4 linked regions of the Drosophila melanogaster genome follow. The protein of the gene in region 1 interacts with the protein of each later gene in a pairwise test. Each region holds a gene or a part of one and is shown in the gene's direction. Other genes may lie near its edges.

What was found.
Region 2: the proteins of CG6933 (region 1) and Vsx2 interact in a two-hybrid assay, tested with the Drosophila melanogaster proteins (one large-scale study listed by BioGRID).
Region 3: the proteins of CG6933 (region 1) and zfh1 interact in a two-hybrid assay, tested with the Drosophila melanogaster proteins (one large-scale study listed by BioGRID).
Region 4: the proteins of CG6933 (region 1) and CG13066 interact in a two-hybrid assay, tested with the Drosophila melanogaster proteins (one large-scale study listed by BioGRID).

The regions. Positions count from the first base shown.
Region 1 is NT_037436.4:20,217,986-20,222,293, reverse strand, and holds CG6933 (uncharacterized protein), read left to right. Parts: upstream 1-1,873; 5' UTR 1,874-1,942; coding exon of another isoform or gene 1,943-1,949; intron 1,950-2,058; 5' UTR 2,059-2,190; coding exon 2,191-2,233; intron 2,234-2,630; coding exon 2,631-3,679; 3' UTR 3,680-3,792; downstream 3,793-4,308. Other genes in the region: CG17145 (uncharacterized protein), read right to left, coding at 1-374, 436-442.
Region 2 is NC_004354.4:5,557,158-5,561,901, reverse strand, and holds the start of Vsx2 (visual system homeobox 2), read left to right. Parts: upstream 1-1,718; 5' UTR 1,719-1,939; coding exon 1,940-2,492; intron 2,493-4,744.
Region 3 is NT_033777.3:30,763,959-30,768,948, forward strand, and holds the start of zfh1 (Zn finger homeodomain 1), read left to right. Parts: upstream 1-1,967; 5' UTR 1,968-2,325; coding exon 2,326-2,422; intron 2,423-4,990. UniProt on the Drosophila melanogaster protein: Involved in the development of the embryonic central nervous system, embryonic mesoderm and adult musculature.
Region 4 is NT_037436.4:16,271,216-16,274,130, forward strand, and holds CG13066 (uncharacterized protein), read left to right. Parts: upstream 1-1,693; 5' UTR 1,694-1,751; coding exon 1,752-1,763; intron 1,764-1,962; coding exon 1,963-2,232; 3' UTR 2,233-2,393; downstream 2,394-2,915. Other genes in the region: CG13067 (uncharacterized protein), read left to right, coding at 125-136, 210-437.

The DNA.
Region 1 (4,308 bases):
GAAGTGCGTCTCCTGCGGACAGGTGCCGTACAAGGCCGTCTCCTCGTCCGCACAGTAATAGTAGCCGTAGCAGGACTTGGGGTCGGCCACGAATTGCTTGGCCCGATCCGCGCAGGATATCGAGCAGCTGGACGTGGAAGTGGACAGTGACTTAACGCATTTGCCCGTGTCCTTGTCGAAAAACGGAGTAGATCCCGTGCATGTACTGTAGTAGCTGACGGAATCGATGCACGTGATCGATTGACTGCAGGATTCGGGATCTCGGATCACCGTATTATTGGAGAACAAGCGGCAGATGTCCTCATTCCGGCCATTAACCACATCTAGGCCTTGAAGCAGTAGCACCAGTGCCACGCCCAGTATGGCACCAAATTCTGCAATTTGAAAAAACAATAAAGTTAGATTTACACCACTGGCAGTTTGCAATCCACTCACTTTCCATTACAGCTCAACTTTGGACAAAGCATAAACTCGTACTGAATCTGAACGTCGACCTGCGATTACTTATAAATATCAGAGGATAAGCAGCAATCACTATTTGCTGGCAAGATAAGCGGATTGGTTTTTGAGGGGTATTCAACTGGGTAAGATGGGTTAAATAAAGATGAATAGAAGTCATTTGTTAAAAGCTCGAAGATTACAATCAAATGTATTGATTTTGCTTAGGGATTTGCTATATAATATTTTTGAAAAGGTAAATGATAGAGCACAAAAAATGGGAATGTTTGATAAAATTGTATTTATAAATTTAATGTTTTTAAGGAGCATTCATAAAATTTTACTTCAGAAAAAATTAATTATATTTTTCGTTGCTAAAGTACTGGGTGATTTCTAGTCGTAGTGAATGGTGATTTTATAAACAAGTTGGAGATTGCCAATTGGCTACCGGTAAATTAAATAGGAAGTAGATAAGTTATCATTTCGGCCAAAAAATAGTAATAAAATGAAGAGCAAGATCAGCTGGTTTAATTCATAAGGCTTAGTGGGTTAATAGAGAGCTTCCCTTCTTTATTATAAAAAAAAAAACATTTTTAGTACTCTACCAATTAAATATAAAAAGTAAATAAGCACGTAGCTTGAACTATTTTTTAAGAATTTAAATTACTTCGAAAATGCCTTGTGATTTGGAAAAAGTATCGAGTAAAGTGTTTAAATGTCATTGCATACTTATGGGCGAATTTCTAAACGGACAAAACTCGCTTTTAGGCGAAACAATAAAATAAGGCGGATAGATTTAAAATAGTTTAACGGAAAATAAAACTGACTAAAAAAATGGGGTTTTTGTTATTAAACATTAACATCAATTATTTTTATAGATTATATAGATAGATAATAAAATTTCAAAATACTTGCATATAATTGTACTATTTAATTATGCATACAAATAAATAAATATATATAACTCATAATTTCATAATTTCATAGTGCGATTTATTTATTTTGTATTTCAGTTCAAACGGTTCTTTTGGACAAGTTATTAATATAAACATTTGTAGTTCGGTAATTTTTCCCCAGAACCTGATAACCTTCAGAGGAAAGTCTAGTCAAGTCAAGTCAAGAGTCGCAGTGCGATTCAAATTGAGATATCTAACTAATGTCGTGTTGCTGAAATGAGTGCCGAGATACCAGGGAAACACCACTGAGTGATCAATAAGAGCCGTGACACTTTCCCGCCTCCTCGAGCTTCTTCGAAATTAAAAAACAATTATAGACAAAGAGGGTTCGCAATCAGCAGCTGATAATCCAAATTCCGGCGCGGCTGTCAACGTATAAAAATATATATAAACTATATATACATACTAAACTAAGTATGTATGGTGTCCGCTGGCCAAGAATCGATTTGAGCTTATAAGCCAGTCCATTTTGGCCGGGTCCGCTAGTTTCACTTTCGTCGTCCAACGCCTTCGAACCGCCTTCAAGCTAACCCAACAACTTCGGAGGGATGCAAGGTGCGTGGTTTACCCCAGACCTTAGAATCTTATCTAGCATTAATTTCGATACTAACGCCCTACTGGCGGCTGGCTTATCTGGCTGACAATTTTTTAATTACCCACCCAGTTCGCGCCGCGAATTGTCAACTATAAAAACGCAAAGGCTGCAATTGATTGAGTTAGTAACGAAATCGGAACGTTCGCTTCGGTCGTCTGTCTATCAAGTGAATTTGTCCCCGAAAAATATTAGCATTCCAAGATGGGAGGTACGTTGGCTCGAAGAACGGATACAGTTATCTCAGGTGCACAGTATTCAAGACGTCTTGCTTCGACTAAATTTTGAAAAGTGGTTTCAAACATGGTTTTAAGGCCCTGAAATTCTCCTGCAAAGGAGATGACTTTCAAAAATGGCTAAAATGACTTTCAAATTTCGATTTGTTACTCAAATTGAGTTTTTCTTTCGTCCTTAATTGATTTTTTATCCAAAAAAAGGGCTGCCGTGTTGGCTACAACAAAGGCTTAACCAATTTTAGAGACGCTAACACGAATTTTGGATTGAAAGCTATCAATTTTGTCGTTTCTAGCATAATTTCTTTGCATTATTAAGTACAAACAAAATAGAAAACTATTCGACGATTACACATGTCTATATTTTATTTAATAATTCATAGTTCGTATCCCCCTGTATCCCCCATTTAGCAATCAATATGAGGATCTGTGTCGTGGCCGCATGTCTCCTAATGGCATCGCAGGCCACCGGCTACACGATGGATGATCTGTGCCAACAGTGGTCGGGCTATGGATACATCGGCAATCCGAGCAACTGCCATGCCTGGGGATACTGCAAGAACCAGGAGGTTGTGGCCTGGGGCACCTGTCCCAACGGCTTGGTGTTCAACGCGCAGGCCGGCAGCTGTGATTACGCTAATACCACGGTGTGCTCCACCAGTGCCGTTGAGACATGCTCCAACGTCAAATCTCCCATGTATGTGGCCAATCCGTTGAACTGCACCGAATACGCCTACTGCGATGGCACAGGCCAAATCTCCTATGGCGATTGCGGCACCGGCGGCGTCTATTCGGCATCCTCCACAAAATGTATATGGGGACCCGCCTGCCCGCAGGACACCATCTGTCGGTTCATGTTGTCCAACATCTTTGTAGGCGATCCGAACCAGTGCGGCAACTACATCAACTGCGTCAACGGCTATGGCACTTCCGAAAAATGTTCCAGCACCGCCAATCCCTACTATAATAAAGCCACTGGCAACTGCCAGTCGACGAATCCGTGCACCGGCGAAGATTCAAACAGTGGAAACTCTGACCAGTTCACTGTTGGGCAAACAAATGCAACTGCTTGTGACGAAGAAGCTTTTAAAGCAGCAGATCCACTTACTGTAAATGGGGAATCTGTTGACTATAGGTACGTTTCTGATGGTGTCACCTGCTATGGGTACTACTACTGTGCAGCAGTAAACGCCACTGGCTATTGGAACCAATGTCCCACCGGTACCCAATTCAATGCTGGCAAGTGCGTTTCGCCAGCCTCCTTTGTCTGTACCCATAACCGATGTGGGAACGTTAACAATCCATTCATGGCAGATGAGGGTTGCAAGAACTACACAATCTGCTCCAGCGGAATAACCGGATCATGTCCCACCAATGCGCCGTACTACGACGAGGTGAACAATATCTGCACCACCAAAATTCCCGATTACGCCATTTGTAATTCGACGGCTAGTACATGAGCATCTCCTCCAGCCACGTCTGTTTGCCGAGATACCTTTTATGAAATATATAAATAAATACCAATGCTGAAGGCATTCAAAAGAAACTAATAAAAATGTTGACTTCGACCAAGCGAAATTTGTTTTAAATGTTGTTGTTTTTGAAATTGTTGATTAGTTGTTCGCCTTTTTGGTAGCAAATCTTTCAAAAAGAGGCTCACAGAAAATGTGCCTCAAAATATAAATATAATTTCTGCGGGATGGGTATTTGTAAATGTTATCTGCCAAGCTAAGTTAATTAAATAATTAATTAAAAAAATTCAATGGCCTCCATCTATTGTATTAGAAGAAGGTGGAACAGTAAAACCCCATTGCTTGGGAAATTTCTGGAGAAGTTACTTGATTGACGTCAGCATTGAGATATTGTTTTGAATTCAGTACTTCAAAGCCTAGTATTGTAGTAGGCTGCTCCTTCTACCCTCTTCCTTTACTCTTAGTCATACATACCTAATTATACATAGCCAATCTAGTCATAAGCTTATACACTCATACACCCATCCTTAACATACAAATATTATCGAGAAACTTATCGACTAATCGACTCGCCACTCTGCAGAGAGCGCGGCAGTCAGTCGCTGTTGAACCAAGCT
Region 2 (4,744 bases), on another chromosome or scaffold:
CTGCAGCCTGCCCCCGTCTCTCTCTCCCTCGCTCTCTTTCTCTCTCGCACGACCACGTTGCCTCTCTTTCTTTTATTTCCAAATGCCAGACTGCGTGGCCCGACGGATATGTACATACTTACATACATATATGTATATACATATATATGATCTGTGATTCCGTTTCGTTTCGATCCGCTCCGATTTCGCTGCGATGGCCGTGTGAGCGTTGGCATTTCAATTGTCTAATTGCCGCGTGGGTTTCTCCATAGGCAGAGCTCACTGTGTGGGGGCGTGAGAAAAGCCCCAAAAGACCCGTTTGCCTGCCACTGATCGTGGCTTTCCAATTGCTGGTGTCTTTATTTTCTTTAAATAGAAATCAATGCGTGTATATAGAATATAATCGATGCGTAACAAAATATATTTATATATTTTTTTGAGAATTAAATATCAACACGTTTTTTCTATCTGTGTATGGCCTTTTGTAGGAGATCCCTTTCGGGACCGAGTTAATTGTAAGTCCCTCAATTGCCTAGCAGTAATTTGCAAGTCCATTACAAGCTCTACTTTTCGACTGCTGCCGAAATCAAGCCGAATTATTTTGCCGAATTTCGGGACATTTCTCCGAGAACAATAACCCACATAGCACGACCCCAAAATCTCTTGAAATCCTGCAAAACTGCGCAGCAAGGACTCTCCCACTGGCACACACGCACACACTCATGCACACAGGACGTGGTGTAAATGCTAATTTACGCATTTCAATAGTACAAGTTTTTGGCGAAAATTTTAATTAGACTGCCTTTTTTTTGGGGAAGGGAAAGGCATTGTTAGGCGGCCGACAAGTGAGTAGTTTCTACCAGCTGGAAACCGAATGGTGGCTCGTTTTTTGGGCCATAAATTGGCGTCCTTCATTGAACGGAGAGCGGTTGGAGTTCCGAGTTCGAGTTCGGGTCTGCGAAATAGTTGTTTTCTTGCGCCTTTTTTTGCGCCACCCCAGCCCTGTTGACCATGCCCTCTCCCACTCTTGCGCTCTCTGGCTCTCTTTCACTCACACAAAATGGGCGCCGCACACTGTGGCAATCGGGCACCAATACAACGGCAAGCAGCGCACCAACACTAATGCGTTTCGGTCCGAACTGGAAGTTCGCGGGAAAACTGGAAGGTTACGCGTGTGCGAGAAGAGCACGGCTAGATGGTGCTTGGAAGGCGCTTGCTGCTCTCCTCACTCTAACGGCGAATGGATGTCGCACATGCGCCATGTTGCCGAGGGGAAGGCCCATATGCTGCTGACTCCCTCGCACTCGCTGAGCGGCGAAGAGTGCGGCTAGCGTGCGACAGAGACCGCCCCTGAATATTTACCGTTGCCGGGCAGCGCAGTCGACGCGAGCGTCGCTGTCGGCGCGCTGCTTTTGCCGCCGTTGCCGCCGTTACTGCTGTTGCTGCTGCTGTTGGTGTTGCTGCTGCTGCTGCAAATGTTGCTGCTGCGCTTGCCATGCGATTTGAGGTCCTCGGAAGAGCAAAGCTCCGCTGGCCGTTTACCGTTTGTTAGCTGAATGCCTCCTTGGCCAAATCCAAAGCGAAATGCAAAGCCAAGTCGAAAGCCAACCACCAGCAGCAACATAACGGCAGCAACAGCACGACAGCAACAGCAACAGCAAACAGAAACAGCAACTGCGACGACAAAACTCCTGGTGCACATTAACGCAGGCAACAGTTTAACGTGGAAATTATTGCGAATTTGTTGTGTGTTTTTCTGCGACGCGTGCCAGCGCAAAATCTCAAAACCTCCATTCGCAAATCCCATTTCGCGTAGTCTTTACAACATTGCAAAACTTGCCTTTGCTTTGTTTTTTTTTTTGTTTTCTGGGTTTCTCAATTGGGACTGCATGATGTTTTCAAGCGATTTGTTTTGACAACGGCAATATCTAGACGTAAATCGAAATATTAGCAATCGAAAATGCCGCAGCGTTCGCCATTTGCCATTCAGGAGCTGCTGGGCTTGGCGGTGGCGGCGGCCACAGAAGCGCCAACCGATCTGACGACAACTGCCGGTGCAACGGTGGCAAAAGAGCGCCAAACGCCAACGCCGCCAAAGACAACAAATGCCACAATGGCAACAGCAGCAACATCAGCAGCTACGGCAGCAACACCAACAAATGCGGCCGAAGGCAATTTAACGAGCGTTTCGGAGCCACAGCAGCAGCCGCAGCAGCAGCAACAAGAGCAGCAGCACCACCAGCCGCACCACCATCAGTACAGGGAGCACCACCAAATGACCATGGCGGCCGCCTCGCGAATGGCCTACTTCAATGCCCATGCGGCGGTGGCAGCGGCCTTTATGCCCCACCAACTGGCCGCGGCGGTGCACCATCATCATCAGCATCAGCACCAGCACCATCCACACCACCACCCGCACCACCCACACGGAGCCGTTGGCGGGCCACCGCCGCCGCCGCCGATGCAGCACCACCACCCCCACCATCCGCACCACCCGCTGCTGCACGCGCAGGGTAAGCCAATGTCCCCGCCAGCGAACCACTCAAATTGCAGTTAATTGCAGTTAGTAAAACACAGATATATATATTTTTTTCATTTATGCATATACTGAACATGGGAAAGTTGAAAAGTGCCGTAGCTAACTTACATATATTTCGCTATAGCGATTTTAAAAATCTTTTGTTCGATGTATTTACACTGACAATCAAAGCTTAAACGCAATTAGCAATCGCAACTGGTTTTGTCACCTGCCAGACACACCAACACAGGCGCACATATACACATGCTCAGATACATTTACAGATTCAGATTCAGATACAGATACATTCGATTCACACGCACACGCACACACAGTGGGGCGAATCGGTGTCTGGAGTGCCGCTTAGTTAGCATAAAAAAGGAATTAATCAGCGGTCCATCGTCCGCCAAATCAGCTTTGGCCCCACTGCAAACGACACAACGCCCGCATCCGCACCACCGCTCCACCGATCCGGCAATCCGGCAATCCGCCTCCGAAGCCACTCCAATCCAAAGCACCACCACTCAAGTTGAGCTGCTAATTGCACTGTGTGTGGATGTGTGTGTGTGAGTGTTTGTGTGTGTGTTGCACTCTGGTTTGAGCATAGCAAAAACTGGGCTTCACAATTGTTGCAATAGTTTGGGCACACTAACGACAATAGTTAGTTTTCATATTGTTTAAATAAAATTCTAGAATCAGTGGAAATCCGAATCAATTTATAATAAGCTTGGTATGCTTTTCGAGTAGGTTTTTGGTCGCTTTTGTGCCACTGTAGGTGCGCCTTTGTTTGGCGATCAGCACAGGCAATGAAACACGCACACTGCAAGAAAATCCCACACACTAACAGTGAACTCGAGTCGACCTGCTGTCTCTCTCGATTCAAAGCTCATTTGCAAGTGGCAATATCATACGAAGTTGGAGCGATGACAGTGAAGGCAGATAAACAGAAAGGCATGAAAAGCCGTGCAGGGATTGGATACACGGTAAAAAACTAGGAACTAGTTGCTGGCTGCCAGAAGTAAGCAGTTGATTAACAACATAAGCACTTCAAATTGTTATATTTCTCATTGGATTTGTGAACTATATCTGGAATGGCATTAATAACAAAATCCTGAAGCGTTTAGCCAAATTTCTTTCACTGTGAAAAGTGCGAGGCTCTGCAGATAATCTTGCAGATTCAAGTGGCAGCTGTTATTATTGTTATTATTATTTTAATTAGCGTTGAAATATCATCATCGTCATCACCGATTTCCATTGCTCTGCAACTGATTCACTGTGCCAATTTCACTGCGCACTCACTCAACTTATGTGGATATGTAGATACATATATGAGTAGATTGAATCTGATTTCTTGATTTCAAATCTGTTTACCCCTACACTTCCGGACCCTTTTTTTTGGGGTCTTATTATTATTATTTTTTTTTTTATTGATTTCGCATGTTGTGCGGCTTTCTTTTTGGCTCGATGTTTATGCGTTATTTTAATTACAATACTCCTATCCGTTTATCGCCCATTTCCACAGTTTCGTCGTAATTTGCGTTTAATAAATGTGGGAAAGAGCACTGCTCTTAGCTGCTAAATAGTTATGGGTAGTATGGGCTAGCAGACTGGGATTACAATTTAAACTATGACCAATTAGTTAAGGTTTTATAAATAGTGGTAATGTATGTAGTATGTAATAGTTGTGCTCATTAGTTTTGGTGCAATAAACAGGGCGAGTTGCTCTGCGATGATGAGAGAGAGTGGGTTGCCTCCGCTAAAAGCATATATTCTAGGGTATGTAATAGTCGTGCTCATAAATAGAGATAGAGAAAGTGGTCTGCCTGTGGTAAAAGCTTATAAATTAGGAAAGGCTTATATGTTTTAGGGTATGCAGTAGTCGTGCTTATTAGTTCACTCCCCATTTTCTTCTGTTCTGTTTAGCCGTGCTTTCTGCTTTTCATTCGCGTCATCCTATTTAATTTTGCATATTTTCAACTCGCTTCGTTGTCGTACGAATATTTCGGGTATCCGTTGTTGATTTTATACCCATTTGCGTGGCCAGCTCGTCAATTAAAAAATCGCATCAGGTTTGGTCGAATCGCGAGCGAATTTCTGGCCGGATTTCGGACGGATTTCCTGTCCAGAGCTGAGTACTTGGCGCCCTCCATTAAGTGCCTTTGATCTTTTACCAGAAGGGAAAACCCAAATCGGAAAATTGGTTGCCCAACGACAATAAGAAAAGCGCTTTTTCTTCGCACACCACAC
Region 3 (4,990 bases), on another chromosome or scaffold:
TCTACAAAACTCGGGGAGGTACGAGCTCATTGCAAGAGATGAATTATTTTCAAGTCCAGACATAAATATCTATTCTGATTCATTCTCGCATATATCTTATTGAGTCATTTTCCCACTTCATCAGCCTCCAATTTTCCCTGGGGCTTTTCCGCCAATCGAACGAGCGCAACAGGTGCAACCGATGGACGACCAATGTGCGCACCTTGCTCGCTTCTCATTAAACACCCACGCCACCTCACACAGATACTCAACACACGCGCACGCGAGTGAACGGCAACTAATTAACATACAAAATGAATGCGAGGCAACAAAAAAAAAGCGGCCTCTCCGGCGGCTATCTCTCTCTCCCTCTCTCTCGCTTGCACCGCCGGCGCTCTCTTTCCCGCTCATGGCAGTACGTTTCAAGTGAGAAAATTATGAAGCTCCACCTATTTTACACTTACACACACGTAGCGACCGCGTTTGTGAGTGTATGGGTGTGTGAGGGAGAAGGGGGAACACATGTTAACCGCATTAAAAATTAATGTACAAATTGTTTATTATGTTGTCGAGTCCGCCTTTTGTTTTTGCTTTTTATCAAAGAGAGCATGTTTCGCTTTTTTTTTCGATAACACAATTTCTGTTACCATAAATATCTTTTTATCCATTTATACTTTTAGTTTTCAAATCTATATGTTTCTTTGAGCAGCAAAATATAAAGTACAAAAAAAGCAACATCCCAAGGGGCCGCCAAAACTTGTTGATGGAGCCAAAGAATCAAGCCACTCGCATTCTGCTCTCTTCGTTAGAATTCTTCGGTTGTCCGGGATCTCTTGGATCTCTGTTCTTCTGTCATTTTGTAGACGTGTCCATTGATGGACATTCTCAAGAACTCGCCCATCAGCAAACGATGTCATTAATGTGTGGCAATCGCGGAACGATTTCGGTATTTCTTACTCGGAAATCGCAGCAGAGGAAATTTTGCAATCGCAAGTGCAAATGATTTTGTCCGTTAACGCAGCGATGTGGCCAGGAAAGGGTTAAGGGATTCCCTGGAAAAAAGAAATCCCCTTTATCTCGCACCGCCAAATTTACCCGAAAGAAAAACGATCGAAAGCTTTCTTGAGTGGGGAATTAATCATAGCGATATGCATACATATGTGTGTAATTCCCACACGGGGAATATTTTGTCATAAACTTGATTTACCGGAAAGACTTAAAAAATTATAATACAAGTATATAATTAAACTATCTTATTGCTGTTCAATTCTGGGAATTTCAGATAATTCCTATTTATTGTTGAGTATTAAACTGTTTATTAAAAATATTTCCTAATTATAACAATTAAATATGTAAATCACTTAAGCTCTACACTTTAATATTGATACCCAGCAGCACAGAGTATTAATAAAATAACACCGAAATAAATTTGACGGTTGGCGGAAAAGTTAATGGAAAGACTCATAAGTCGCTTTATCAATAAAAACGAAATTTTGTGCAAATGTTAATATAGTCAAATCCCGCATAACGGCCATATGTTTACGAGCAGCACGATGAACAAAAGAGGCCACCCTTACGTAGTGCTTACGTCACGGGATAACCGAGAGGAGCGGCACTAACAGCGCTTAACATTTACGATATGCGATAACAGAGAGCTGTTATGTTAAGAATGAAGCGCTCTCGCTTCTCTGGCACCACCACCAACACACCACCCATCAGAGCATTAGAGCACCAACCACACTACCCCCGCCCGAATCACCTCGTACATCGGAACGGTGAACCGTTACACCGTTATATTATGCTGGTGGTGGCACGGAGCACACACACAAACAGCGCCGCCCTCTCTCACTCGCTCTCCGTGGAAACGTAGAACCCCGCCGTATCGCCCTCGCCCGAAACTCACAGTTCGCATCCGACGGATTCGGTAGAGGACGTCGGTCTCTGTTTCGTTCTCGGATTTGGCTTGATGCTTCGAAACTTAGAACTCTGAATTCAGTTGCATCGTAGACGTCGCGACGGCAGCACACGCGTCGCTCACCCACAGAGAAAACTCTGAGCAGCACACAGTAGAATCACGCAGATATAGAACGCAGATCAGTGAAATCGCCCACAAAATAAAAACAAACGCGACACTCGCAGCGGCGCATCGCGAAGAAAAATCCCAGTGTTTCCCATGTTCGAAAGATAAAAAACCCAAGGCCCTTGCCCAAATGGCCGCCACAACACGTGTGTGCTCTATAAGAAAGAAATAACGCCGAGCCCAGAAGAACCCACTAGCCAACTAGCCAACTAGCCAAACAAACTATCCGCATCAAAGTAGAGCAAGTGTTGCAACAAGCATTCCAAATGTTGTCCTGTCTGGCGCCGTCGTCTTCACGTTTCGGCCAAGAGGATACCATCATTCAGCAGAGCATGCCCTCCACCTCCCCCTTCGCCATGCAGTGTAAGTGATCAGAACGCGGATCTGGAGCACAGATCTCGGGTGATTCATCCGCAAACCGCCTCCATTATCACCAATCAGCCGTGCCATAGAACTTTGTGTTCAAGTGATTCGCGCGCCAAGACTCGGTAGCTTCGATTTGAAGATCCCCACATGCAAGCTTAGCAGTTTCCCAGAAACCATCCGCCATCTTGGGTATATGTGTGGTCTCCACCTTCAGGGGATCATAAGAATGAGTAGCTATAGAAAAACAAACTCATAAACGGCGAGTAAGGATCGAGGCAGGTCTCGAATTACCATTACCTACTCCTACGCAGAGAACGGGCTCCGGTTCTCAAAAAGGAGAGAGCGAGCCCGAAACCGAAAAAGTTTGCCCGATCAGCACACTGAGAGAAAACTGGGTCACTTTGTGCAACTTCTATACGCTTTGAGAACTTAAAGAACTTATTGTTGTTCAACTATAATCATTCGCTGGTTTTCAGCTACGAAAGTCCTTTTCCATGAGCTAAAACTACAATATAGTTAAAATTAGTACGGTTTAACATGGCAGATCATTCGATTTCTTATATCTATTGGTCATATCACGCTCTTCACACATGAAAGTCGGCCAGTCGATCTTGAATAATGGCATTATTCCCTGCATTGCATAGCATAGCCACCTCTCTGTTCCTCCCAGTGGCCGACCAATTGCAGCCACATCTCAATTTGATTTGTTGGCACCGCCGAAACAGCACCGCCGCCTTGCCAGTAATCTCCACCCACCGAGAACCAGGTAGAGCTACCCCTGACCAGGAAAACCGCATGCGCAGGCTGAAACAGCAGACGACAGGTAGCTAACTTGGCCAACACCATTACCGCGATGCCGCACCTCCATTTAAGAACCTGTTTTATGGCCATATTGCTGGTCGCTTGCCACTCTGTTTATCGAGTGTAAACAAAGCATAAAACTGTCAGTGGGCAGAGCTCATCGGTTGAAATGGAAGGTGTGAGAAAGAGCCGAAATTAATTGAAAACGCTTAGTTGGGGAGCATTGGGGATGGCGCAATGCTGGGGAAACGCCCACGATTCGTTCGGTGCTCCACTCCTCCGACTCTGACAATTGATAAGCCAGCTAAAGAGACGGATTAATTGCACATGTTCGGTGGAAACGGTTGAAACGGTGGCAACACCGCTGCCATAAATTATAATTTATGGCTATTTAAGCAGCTCCGTTCTCTGTGGGCGGAACTAAAAGCCCTCGAACACGATAGTTTGGCTAATCGATCAGAGATGGCTGCGCACAGGTTGGCCCACATATCTTCGATCCATATACTTTCCGCTTGTTTTCCGTCTCTTCCCTGGGCAAACCGAGCTGCTTGATGGCGCTGGGCAGCTGCGACTGCGATGGATATTAATCGCCGGCTACATACGAAATGCTGTTCGCTGGGCTTTTGGAAAAGCCGGGGGAAAACGCCAGCCAGCCAGCCAGCTAGTCAGCCAGCCAGCTAGTCAAGTTGTACTAATTTTCCGGCTGCTCGGCGTGTGTTGTGTCGCATTTCGAAACGGCTCCAAAATGCCGTAAATCAAAGATTTCGCCCTGGCGAAAACCTGTCGCCTGTTATCACCTTCGACTACGCCCCTTAGCTAAATATACTCTAAATATACTCTATGTATAAATCAGCGCCAATTTCCATTCCCATTTTCGCCCATCGAAGCCCTGAGCAGAAATTAAACATTTATCTGACATTTGCATCTTCGATTGGGAATACCTACCTAGTGTGTGTGTTCCACCAGCAACAAGATTGCCTCCTGTCTAATTAATCATTTTGGCTGCTGTCAGTGGATGTCAGTTTTATATGCTGGTGCTGTCGGTGCTGCCATTTATAACTCCTGGCCGGCTCATCCTGCATCTTTCACCGGGCACAGGACTCTGCCCCGTCAGCTGGTAATCGAAATTAAACAAACTTGGCCCCACAAACTATCTGGCAACTGGCATGCAAAGATGATTAATTTTGCCGATGCCTATCTCAAGTGGAGTTGGAGACTTCGGCCCGACTTTGCCCAAAATAAACAGACTGTGTCTTTAAATTGCAATTGAGCCAGGCTACAGAGCAAAAAAAAAAAAGGAAGCTCCCCATTTGCAACCAGCACAAAAGGACAATAAATCAATGAGGGGAAAGTCCTCTTTGATATCCTGCTGCAGATTCCCTTTATTCCGTGTTCAACCTGCCGCAGCTTTGGGCAAATTATTTGCCACATTTTACTTTTATTTCGCATTTTGGCCAAAAAGTAAATTGTTTGCCAATATTTTTTGCTGCTCGCTTTTTGCCGCCGTCGTGCACACAATTGAAACAAAGATAACTTTGAAACAGTTGTAAAGTGAAAATTGCACGGAATGCAGCCCGCCTCCTTGCGAATATATTTTTTCTTATTTATTTAATGCCCGCCGCTCTCCACGAGACAACAATTGCTACCCGTGCTATCCCCCGAAAAAAAAGTGCCAAAAAATCGGCGCAAACAAAAGGGTGCCCCCTGCCACCCAACCCTTGCAACACCCCCTTAAAAAAGGTGTTGCCAAAGGGCAGGCAAAAT
Region 4 (2,915 bases), 3.9 Mb from region 1:
TGTGGGGAATTGGAATGGAATTTTCTCGACCGATTCTGCTATATATACCCGAGTACTCGGGCACTAGGAGATATCAGTCTAGTACTTGAGAACCAACAGTTCACAACCAACCCAAACAGCCAACATGTTCAAATACGTAAGGATCGCAGGATAGCTGGACTTGCCACCAAACAACGGATTACTCATAAGCACTTTTCCTATCCTTTCAGTTCGCTCTGTGCCTGTTCGCCATCGTGGCCTGCGTCTCTGCCAAGCCGGCGGTGCTCGCTTCTCCTCTGGCCTACAGCGCCTACTCCGCTCCCTATGTGGCAGCTGCTCCTTACTCGGCTGCCTACACCGCGGCATACACCGCTCCAGTGGCCGCCGCCTACTCCGCCTACACGTACCCCTATGCGTCCGCCTACTCCGCCTACCCCTATGCCGCCTACTACCGTTAAGACTGGATGAATGGATCGTGATCTTAACCTGACTGCTGAACTGGACCTGAATATAAACATATACACATCTATTGCAACAAGGATACACACCTTCCTGCTAACCACCTGCAACATCCAATCTTCTTACATCCCTGGTGTTAGTTCGACAGACTCTACATTTCCCCACCTCTGCCGACTGCTGAAAGTTAAGTCATGGGAACAGGACATACCACTTCAAGAAAGGGAATATTTTTGTTGAAATAAATACTGCATTTTGCGTAAAACGTATACCACTTGTTCATAATTTATTGCATCACTTATTCATCTCTAATGTGAAGGGAGTATGTATAATCACATACTTTTAGGCAGTACTCTTTTGCAATGGGTACTAAGTACTAAATTTGGTATACATTAAAATCCAATGGAAATATTATTTATAAAGTAGGTGATATCATATTTTCAGTAAATATTTCTCACACTAGTTTCATAAATTGCTAGCCCCTACATTTTTTAATTTTGGTGGGCTGGAAGGAATCAATGACTTTTTTAAGCTTTGTATCAATAAATTGCTTTGATACATTGGAAATTATTTTTTGGACTTAAAACCTATTATTTGTTAAAAAAAAAGGAAGTGTAAAGGAGGTTGTGTTCTTCGTGGTGGAATGTCCATGTTTGCATTGGATTAATAGGGTCAACGAGACCTCCGGTTTATTGAACTCGCGATTCCATTTATGCAAAGCTTTCGATTCCCTGTTTCTGGTGTCCTCAACCTTAAGCCAAGGGCTCAACTCGATGACGTCCTTCGAAACTGGATAAACCGCTTCTATTTTTACTTGCATCTCTGATTAGAATGCAAAGTGGCGTGTTCGAGTGGCTGACAATTGAAACGTACAGAGTGAGCCGAACTCCGGAGATGGCCAAGACGGTTGGAATGACACGCACGTTCACAGCCCACAAAACGCACTGAGTGCTAAATTATGATAATTCAATCGGCAAACGACAGCTGCTGACGCCAGTTGCGGAAATGCTCAAGATGAGCGGGAAAAAACATTCATTTTCAATAATAAATTCACAAGGAATGCGTACTATTCGCAGGCATATCGACAAACACAAATCTGCAACATTATAATTGTGCCAGTAAAAAGAGACCAAATGTTTGGCCCTGTTTTAGCCCTGGTACGTGATGGAAATGCTTTAAACTTGCTGGGTTTTTGCTTTTTCAATGGGCTTTGTCAAGGATGCTATGTATATTTACCTATATAAACCACTTCGAACTCAGCACAAGACATCAATCAGAAGTCTAACTTCGACGCTAACACAACCAAATCAATTAAAATGATGAAATTCGTAAGTTTCCAACATTTTTTTAAGGATACAATGTTTCAAAAATGCAACAATTCACAATCCTAAATACAAACAAAAACGCGTGTGTTCGAAATAAAACTATTATCAAACAGTGTAGATTTTTCAAACAATTTTTTATATTTATAAAACTTCTTGTAAATGTGTATTTTAATGTACTTTTTGTATGCATTTTATCCTGCAGTTTGCCGTTGTCCTGTGCGCCCTGTTCGCCGCCGCTGCTGCCAATCCTGGTCTGCTGGCCTACAATGCCCCTCTGGCCTACTCCACTCCACTGGCGTACAGCTCCCTGCCCGCTGCCGCACCCCTCGCCTACACCGCCGCCTACACCCCTGCCTACGCCCCCTACGTGGCCCCCTATGCCAGTAGCTACAGTGCCCACAGTGTGGCCCACAGCGCCGCCCTGCCAGCCGTTTATGCCGCCGCCCCTGTGGCCACCATCCTCAAGAAGTAAGATGTCCCAGGATGGCAAAGGGATTCCGCAAGGCTGCCGCACGTGTCCACCGGACGTCGTCACTGCCACGGCGAAAGATACAGATACAAACAGAGATGGAGATACATGCTCGCAGGCAAACAGAAATTAAAACGCAATGCATCAGGCCCACGCACTGACCGACTGAGAAGTGAATCGAGTTTTATTCCTTCCGTTTAATTTTAATCTTGCCGTGGGCATCGGGACTTTTCTTCAAAGGAAACAGATAGTGCAGGTTGCTCTTGGGAAGCGCCGTCTTATTGCAATAGATACCTGGATGGGAAGTATATATATATAGCTTTAGTTTGTGGTATTACATAGAATTATAAGTTCAAGATAAGGGATTTCATTTGAATTATTAACGAGTGCTGCAAGCTTTAATTTTTAACATTTGCAATGGTCACCAGAGCACTTTAAACTATTATATGATGAGAAGAATGAATTCGTTTAAGGTTAAATCAGGCCACCATTTTCATTAGACAGCTCCCATATGACAGAGTGCCCTCCAAGGGTGTGCCCAACTCTGGCCTGTTTGTGCGCCCACTTTGGTTCATCGACACTTCGCCACGTTCCAGGACGCAATCCTTGAGCTTTGTTTACGCAGTTCGCACCCCCTTAGCCCTGATACCCCCCTGACCCTTCGAGGTCTATGTGGCCAGCTCGCG